2 linked regions of the Sus scrofa genome follow. Each later gene encodes a partner of the first gene's protein in a complex. Links are inferred from orthologs where the notes say so. Each region holds a gene or a part of one and is shown on either strand. Other genes may lie near its edges.

The links.
Region 2: mitochondrial import inner membrane translocase subunit Tim23 (region 1) and TIMM17A share a complex: the UniProt entries of both Homo sapiens proteins name them as parts of the TIM23 complex. The link is inferred for Sus scrofa from reciprocal best matches to the Homo sapiens genes TIMM23 and TIMM17A.

Annotation. Positions count from the first base shown.
Region 1 is NC_010456.5:90,479,413-90,483,778, reverse strand, and holds the start of mitochondrial import inner membrane translocase subunit Tim23, read right to left. Parts: upstream 2,825-4,366; 5' UTR 2,584-2,824; coding exon 2,478-2,583; intron 245-2,477; coding exon 186-244; intron 1-185. Other genes in the region: PARG (poly(ADP-ribose) glycohydrolase), read left to right, coding at 3,061-3,280. UniProt on the Homo sapiens protein: Essential component of the TIM23 complex, a complex that mediates the translocation of transit peptide-containing proteins across the mitochondrial inner membrane.
Region 2 is NC_010452.4:24,198,781-24,203,356, reverse strand, and holds the start of TIMM17A (mitochondrial import inner membrane translocase subunit Tim17-A), read right to left. Parts: upstream 3,013-4,576; 5' UTR 2,958-3,012; coding exon 2,932-2,957; intron 1-2,931. UniProt on the Homo sapiens protein: Essential component of the TIM23 complex, a complex that mediates the translocation of transit peptide-containing proteins across the mitochondrial inner membrane.

The sequences.
Region 1 (4,366 bases):
AGGAAGAGAGGCAAACCAAATCCCCTGAGTTTATAAGGAAAAAAAGGTGAATGGAGACCAGAGACTTGGTGTCTCCAGAGGCACCAGGTACAGAAGTAAACGTTAAGTACTTGGGGTTATTTTTTTAAATGCATAGTTAAAGGACCAATCTAGGAAAATCATAAAAGGACTAGTCTAAATCTTACCTGCACAAGATATCGTGGATCCACATTTAAATAAGGAGACAGAGGATTCATACCAGTTACTAGAGAGAAAACAAAACATTACATGGCAATAAAAATTTTAAAAGTTATTTCATTTAGTGTTAATTCTGCTCTCGATTATTCACATGTTTTGCAGTTTTGAGTTATAAGTCCAATGAATGTAAATTTTTCTCCCACTTTCCTAGTCTTATCCTCCCTGTCTGGTAGTTTATGGGCTGCCTCTCTTGGGGCCCTTAATTTTGCACTTGTGTCTCAGGTTCTCATATTGGCAGTAACATGGATCAAATAATCAAAGTAGCGGGAAGCAAAGGCCAGGTCAATTATAAAACTATTTCTTTCTACTTTACTGCAAAAATGTTCAACAACTATACAGGGTGTAAAATAAGATTGACAAGAAACCAATTTCATAAGAAAAACATCATTTGCCTCATACGCTCTGTATAAATATTTAAAGGCAGTTCCTTCAGATCTTCGTGTTGACAGTTGCTGACAGGACTGATTTACAGGATACAGAATTCGTAGGTCTTCACCACAGGGATGGGGGTCATGGCAAAAGAAAATGGGACCTCTGAGAGGCCCAGACTTGAATTCCACTAACTTTGAAGATAGACAAATCAGGGAAAATCAACTTTCTCATGTTTAAAATTTAAACTTTGGATCCTCCTGCATCTCAGCTGATTGTTCACAAATCTACCCATTACCCAGGACTCTACTCATTATCCAGAATCGACTGCAAGTCTTATTAGTTGTATAAACAATACCTATCCCGAACTGTGTTCCTTACCATCTTTATTGCTACCATCCTGATCTAAGCACTAAGGCTCACATCCTAACCATCTCCTACCTAACTAGACTCCTTAAAAGGCTTAATAAACAGCACATTGGCTGCCATTCCTTGCCCTTCTAAATCTCATTATCTTCTATCACACCACCTTCTACACCATTGTGTAGACACAACGGCTTAATGGTTTGTTTCCTTCAACACTTACCCTTCCCCACATTTGTACTGTATTCAGGTCACAGCTCAAAAGCCAGCACCCCTGAGTTGCTTTCCCTGATCTGTTCTTAAAAGGCTTCCAGTTCCTACCATCTCAAGATCCTGCTTTATTGCCTTCAGACACTTAGTGATAAGTGTGTCACTGAAACATTTTTGTTACCTGGCTCACTTCAATAGGATGTAAGGTCCACAAAAACAGCAATCATCTTTTTAAATTTAACTGTCTTAGTTCTGCACCCAGAAAAATCCATCTACAGTACTCAATAAATGGTATTGACTCCATCTTTTAATTTACCTTCAAATTTCAATTAATGTAACAATGGTTTTTCACATTAAAGCAGAGCCCTTTGTGCTCCAAATGCGGAGCTCCTGTGACTTATTATACACAAACTCCCTACAGTTCTGTTCTATAAGTTATCATATACAAACTACGCCCTAAATTCAGTTTTGATACAGGTCACACTAGGAACTTCTAAGCGTGTTTAAAAAAAAAAAAGCTTTTTTGGTTTCTGAGCATAAAAGACCTAAAGAAGTAGTACGAAAATTCTTAAAAGAGAAAATAGTTTTATAAAACGCTTATCCTCCACCAACTTCCTATTTTTAGGTCCAAGTTCTAGTCATCCAGTTGAATACCCAGTTAGATAATTTCAAAGATCTAGAATACACATTCTTTGTACTGAGGAGCGCACAGGCAGGGCATTCGTGCTTCCAGCACCCTCGATTGTACGTATTTCCCTTCCTAAAATTCATATTGGCTTCTTTCTTGTCTATAAATTACCTTTAAAATTCAGCTCTCTTCCGTGTTCCCCTAGTTGTCTCGAATCATGTTTCTTTCTCCCCTGTATGCATGAGTGGCCCTGACGGCTACTTGTGGTTTTAGAATATGCGACTTTGAGCTAAAAAGTTATCTATGAACTCGGTATTTGGAATGCATTTACTTGCAGAAGGGGGTTTTCTTTTTCACCTAGAGCCAAGCACAAGGCCCAATATACAGGAATGTGCGAGAGGAAAGAGAAGGCAGAAAGCTTGAATATAAAAGGAAGAAAACATGCAGCATCTCCTGGTTGACATGATCCAGGACAACCACAGAAACCTTCTCCGGATCTATGGCTCCAAAAATTCGTTCGATGTCGAAAGAGCGGCCCCGGAGATACACCAACCCCACGATTGCTACTGAAGCTTGTGACCGCTAGCAAAAAAAGGACAGGGCACGCCGCAGGTTTGGCGTGGTGGCAAGAACCAGTCAGAAATGTTCGTAAGCTAGGCCCGATACTTACGCGGGACTCCCGCCAGATCCGCGTGCGAGTAGCCAGCTCCGCCGGCTCCGAAAAAGCCGGCCAATCCCCCTGTGGTTTTGTTGCCGCTTCCTCCACCGCCCTCCATGGTACTGCAGCAAACTACCGGTCTGCTTCTCCCCGCTGCTCAGGCCGGGATCGTCCGCTCGGCCGTTGCTCCTCTGTAACAGCGGGTGAAACCCGCGTTACCACCACCTCCTTCACACGCTGACCTTCCGGGCGCCGGCAGCACCTAAACCTCACATTTCCGCTTTGCGACAGCGTACGTCCCGGAAACCGGAAGCGCCTGACGGCAGCTTTCCGGTGGTGGGAAAGTGAACGGAGCAAGAAAATCAAAGCGGCGCATCCTGAGGCAGGTGGGGTGCCTGTGGAAGAGGGAAGGCAGGCGACTGGATAGGGCCTGGCTCGGGAGGCCTACGGAACAGCAGCTGCAGACGCAGGCAGCAGCAGAGAGGGCATGGTGCCGGGAGGCGCCGAGAAGGAGGCGCAGTCCGTCCCTCTCCGGGTTAGTGAATGAGGCTCTCCGCCCTGGCTGGCCCGGGGACTGTTCGCTGCGGGTCCCAGCATGAGTGCGGGCCCCGGCTGTGAGCCCTGCACCAAGCGACCCCGCTGGGGCGCCGCTGCAACTTCTCCGCCGGCCGCCTCGGACGCCCGGAGCTTCCCCAGCAGGCAGAGGCGCGTCCTCGATTCCAAGGACGCTCCCGTGCAGTTCAGGGTCCCGCCGTCCTCGTCAGGCTGCGTCTCGGGGCGGGCGGGACCGCACAGAGGCAGCGCCACCTCGCTTGGTACGTGGGGAAATAAAGCTCTTTGTCCTTCGCCTTGGCCCAAAGCTCTTCTTGGTCTCCGAGGACCCAGGGACTACAGCCCCCCATTTTCTGGTCTTGTATGCATCACTCTGAACGCTGAGGTCCCCTTGCTGAGCCATCAAGGCCACTAGTCGGGGAATGGGGCCCCATTTTCCCCGTGGCGATTGGTGGTGTGAGAACCCCTGACAAGCAGTCACTCAGCATGGGAAGCGGCGAGAGACTCCACCTGTTTGCTTTCCTTGGGTTTAATTGGAATTGCCTTGGTCGTTAAGGAGGTTTAATCTTTTACCTGAAGCTTCAGTCTCTAGATATAAAGAAAGTTACAAAGAAAGTCACAGCTGTCCTCAGTTTTAATTCTCAGTCTCTGGGTGGAGAGCCCTTAGTCTTACTGGCTTTACACCCGTCTTTGACATACAGTGGTGAACAAAGGTAACTTGGTCTGTTTTCAGACCCTAAAATCTATCAGAAGAGGTAGACAATGGCAGAGGTAAATATAATAAAGGGTAATGGATGTTCCAGTATATGAGACAGATAGTTAGGATAAGACGTCAGATGTGCCTGATCTAGTTTGAAGGTCAAAGATAATCTCCTAGCCAGAAGGTGAGGATCTTATTCTGAGGACTGAAGAGTGATGAGTTATTTAGATGAAGAGGAAGTTAAGGAAGTGATCCCACAGTGCAGCTGATGTAGGTTGTCCAGAGAGCAGTGAGAGATGGGATTGCAAAGAAGTAGACAAAGATCAGATCATATTGGGCAATGCTAAGAGGTTTGAGCTTTATCCTGATTGGACTTGATTGGAGATATATATGTATCAAAAATACATATAGTTTATTAAAATGTATATATTTTAAAGGTCCTTCCCTGGTATGTGGAAAATGAAGAATAGATTGAAAGGGAGCAGAAGTGCGGGCACAAGACTAGTTAAGGAGTTACTCTAGATAGGAGATCATGATGGTTTATACTTGGTTTCAGACTGTAGGAAAGATGAAGAGTGGATGGATTCTGGAGAGAATGGGATACGTGGGTTTGTACCCCAGGAAATATTTCTGTGATGGAAATATAGGT
Region 2 (4,576 bases), on another chromosome or scaffold:
CCGGGAGCTGCCCAAGAAATGGCAAAAAGACAAAAAAAAAAAAAAGGGCGGAAAGACAGAGGAGAGTCACTAACTTTAAACAATCTAACCTAAATGATCCTCTAATCAGAACAGAAATAAATCAGCATTTAAGAAATGAAGACTAGCAGGAGCCAGGAATTCCTGCTGTGGCACAGCAGCTTAAGGATTCAGCATTGTCTCAGTGGTGCTGGTTTGATACCCTGCCCTGTGCAGTGGGTTAAGGACCCAGCATTGACACAACTACAGCTCAGATTCAATCCCTGGCCCAGGAACGTCCATAGGCCTCAGGTGAGGCCATTAAAAAAAAAAAAAAAAAAAAAGGATTCAGATCAGAGCAGCCACAGTATTCGGACAGGATGTCCCAAACAAAGGCAAGACGGAAAGTTTCTGAACAAAGCCTGGCTAAATCCAAATGTGCCTGCAGGGAACTGATGGTCTACACCAAAGGAAGGGTGAAGCCAGATTCTAAAAGCAAATGCTAGGAAGTTCCCGTCATGGCTTAGTGGTTAACGAATCCGACTAGGAACCATGAGGTTGCAGGTTCGATCCCTGGCCTTGCTCAGTGGGTCAAGGATCCGGTGTTGCCGTGAGCTGTGGTGTAGGTCACAGACGCAGCTCAGATCTGGTGTTGCTGTGGCTGCTGTGTAGGTGCGCAGCTGTAGCTCCGATTGGACCCCTAGCCTGGGAACCTCCACATGCCTCAGATGCGGCCTTAGGAAAGACAAAAATGCCAAAAAAAGAAAACTGGAAGAAAAAAAAAGCAAATGCTAGGCAAATACAGGGCAACAAGAACCAATAACCAATCATACCAAGATTAAAAGTCATCAACTACACTGTAGGTACCTTTCGGACTTTCAAGAAAGCTAGATTATTTTCTTATAGAATCCCTATCTTTTAACTTTGCAAAAGAGTATTTGTCTCCTCTCCATTTTACAGATGAACAGGGACTCAGAGATTAGGTAACTTGCCCAAGGTCAAATAAAAAATACCTAGGAGTTCCCGTCGTGGCTCACTGGTTAACAAACCCAACTAGTATCCATGAGGATGTGGGTTCAATCCCTGGCCTTGCTCAGAGGGTTAAGGATCTGGTGTTGCCGTGAGCTGAGGTGTGGGCCGGCAGCTGCAGCTCCAATTCGACCCCTAGCCTGGGAACTTCCATATGCTGCAGGTTCAGCCCTAAAAAGACCAAAAAAAAACCCCCAAAAAATCCCAAAAAACAAACAAACAACAACAACAAAAAACCTAGTCGTTCCTGTCATGGCCCAGCAGAAACAAATCCAACTAGGGGTTCCATCCCTGGCCTCACTCAGTGGGTTAGGGATCCGGTGTTGCCATGAGCTGTGGTGTAGGTCACAGACATGGTTCGGATCCCGAATTGTTGTGGCGTAGGCAGGCAGCTGTAGCTCCAATTTGACCCCTTGCCTGGGAACCTCCATATGCCATGGGTGCGACCCTAAAAAACAAAAAAAAAAAACCAACCAAACAAAAAAAAAACCTAGTAGAACCAATTTAAATACAAAATCTAGTACTCCAAAGCCCCCAAATTCTTTCCACTACATCCTATAGACTAAGGGCTTTTGAAAAGAAAACATGATTAAAAAGTATTTAGGGTGGCTGTGGCGTAGGCAGCAGCTACGGCTCCGATTGGCTCCGATTGGACCCCTAGCCTGGGAACTTCCGTATGCTTCGGGTGCAGCACTAGAAAAGACAAAAAGACAAAAAAAAAAAAAAAGAAAGTATTTAGGACCATTAAGTACCTATCATACATTTAAGGAAGAGGACAGAAGGAAAACAATAAAGAAGCTTCTGTAAAAGGCATTAAGGACAGAGGTAAGGTCCTGACTACAGGAACTGAAAGCGCAAGTCCTCAAAGAATTCCGACGACAGCAAGGGGGCTGGGTGGGGTGGTGTGCAGGGAGGGCAAGATGCTTGTAGTTTGAGCCTGGATGACCTTAGGGACCAGGGTCTTCCAGAAGATCAAAGCAGTTGAGGACAAAGCCAACCTGAGAACTGAACTGACCATGCGGCTTCAGAACATCCGGAGTAAGAGAGCACAAAGGGGCCATTAAATGCGTTTGTAGATGACAACTATCACTCCCTAACACCTCTAACAACCAAGTGAAACAACTTCCCCTCCTGCCAACTTGTGCCCTATCATACCTGACATGAGCAGTATAGTATGCTGAGTCCTGCACACCTGAGTACAACCCAGGAAGGGGTATCACCTTTGGAGAAGGGAAATTTAAAGAACTGGGAGGCTCTGCAAAGTAATACTCTGTATCTCAGTTCAGGGAGGAAAAAAAAGCACAAAGCAGGCAACATGGCTTTTGCTGGCACGATTCGTTACAGAAAGCCCTGGCCCCTTCCGACAGATGGAAAGCACCGGTGATTAACCCAAGTAACACGTTCTATTTTCACTCCTGACCCCAGAAGCCTCAAACTTTGCAGGTCGGACTCCTCCATGCTTTCCTTCTGAGGACCGAGCGACTGCGGAGCACAGGCAGCCCCCTGCCCCAAAACATCGAATGGACCGACTCCCGTCGGTGGCTTTTCGAGAACACACGCCTCGCCCCCACGGGAGAGTCCCCAGCCCGGCCCTCGCCCCCAAGCGGCCTCCTCGGCCTGGCTCCCTCCCCACGCAGGCTGAGCCACGCGGGCACAAGGACGAGCCAAGGTCGCCGGAGGGCAGAGGGGCTGCTTCCCACCCGCAGGTCGGACAGGGGCCGCGTCTGCACAGCTGAGCCGGGGCGCCCTCGAGTCGCCGCAAGGTCACCGGCTGAGAAGCCGGCCGCTCACGCCTGCGTGCCTATAGCCCCGGCGCCGCCGAGCCTGGCGCTGAGCGGTCTCGCCTCGGGAGCCAGGCTGGGCCGAGCCGGGCCGGGAGGCAGGCAGCTCGGCGAGAAGGCTCACCAGGGCTCGCGCGCGTATTCCTCCATCTTGACTCCGCGGCGCCGCGATGCCGGGTAAACGGGGCGGGGCCTGGCCCGGCGGCGGAAGTGATCCCGGGAGGAGGGCGTTAGAATCTGCGGGGATTGGCTCGCCACCTCCTCCCGCAGCCAATGAAAGCCGGGGCCGCGGGGCGGAAGGCGGGGCTCAGACCAGAGGGGCGGGCCTCCGAGGCGGAGGGGCGGTGCGTGTGGGTGGCCGCGTGGGGAATCCCAGGTGAGGAGAGGTACCCAGAGCTGAAGCTGCGGGGCCTGGTGGGGCCCGAAACAAAACTGCCGTTGTAACTCGAACCTCCCGAATGACTTTCTCTGTTTTAGTACCCGGCTGTCAAGTGCGAATTACTGCTGCCAACTTCGACGGGTCGGTAAGGCCCCCACTGCTGCCACGGAGCTCCTTAAGATGGGCAGTACCTGAATATTTTATCTCGGGGGGGCCGGAATGTAGTGAACGTTCCATGAATGTTTGTGAACACCTGGGGCGCTGCCGTGATTCATGGGGGACCTTAACATGGGGGACAGCAACAACAGAGTTCTTCCGGACCTCACTCTAAATGATCCCGGGAGATGTAAGGGGGGCTTAGCCCAGAGGAGGAGACAAAAGGCTGGGGGCCATCGGCCTGAAAGCAAAACCTCAGTCAGGTGACAGCTGCTATAGGTCTCCATCCTGAACATCTGAGATTGACTTTAAAATGTCCAGAGTTCCTCTGGTGGCTCAGTGGTTAAAGAACCCGACTAGTAACCAAGAGGTTGCAGGTTCAATCCCTGGCCTCGCTCAGTGGGTTAAGGATCTGGCGTTGCCCTGAGCTGTGGTGTAGGTCACAGATACGGCTCGGATCCTGTGTTGCTGTGGCTCTGGCATAGGCTGGTGGCTACAGCTCCGATTGGATCCCTAGCCTGGGAACCTCCATATGCCATGGGTGTGGCCCTAAAAAGACAAAAAAAAAAAAAAAAAAAAATCCTCAACGAAACAAAACATGTGTGTACATTTATTTCATGGAAAAGTTTCTGTAATAAATAATAGCAAACTGCAGGGGGAATGAGGTTCCCCCCCCCAAATCTTGGAAATAAGGTGAAATGAACTGAACCCTCCACAGAACTAAATAAAGCTAGTCTGGAAGTGTGAAAACAACAATTCAAACCAGTCCTCTGACTTGGATGCCTGCGTCCAGGAGGGCTTACTTATTTGGAATGTGTGAATGTAATTAAAAACACTTCAGGGAGTTCCCATGGTGGCTCGACGGGTTGAAAACTAGTTCTTTGGGGCTGGGCAAGGAGGCCTCGGACTTAGCCTTTGGCTGGAGGAGAAAGCTGTCACCCCACCCTTGGAAGTAGCCCTTCCATCTTAGAAGAAAAGAGCTGAATGGTCAGTGACATAAAGGAATGACAACAAGACTCATAGACAAAAGGACTGGGGTCCCCGAGAGTGAACTGACCCTGAGTCTGGGGGAGTGGAGTGGAGCTGGTAATCCAATGCTTCAGGGCTTATTTGGTGAAAGTGGGTGTTCTGGGCCAAGGATGAGATGGCACTGGACCCCCAGAGACCCAGGTCCTCTAAGTATTGCTTTGTGGAAAACAGCTCCACCAGGGGACTGAAGGAGGTGTGGCCCTGA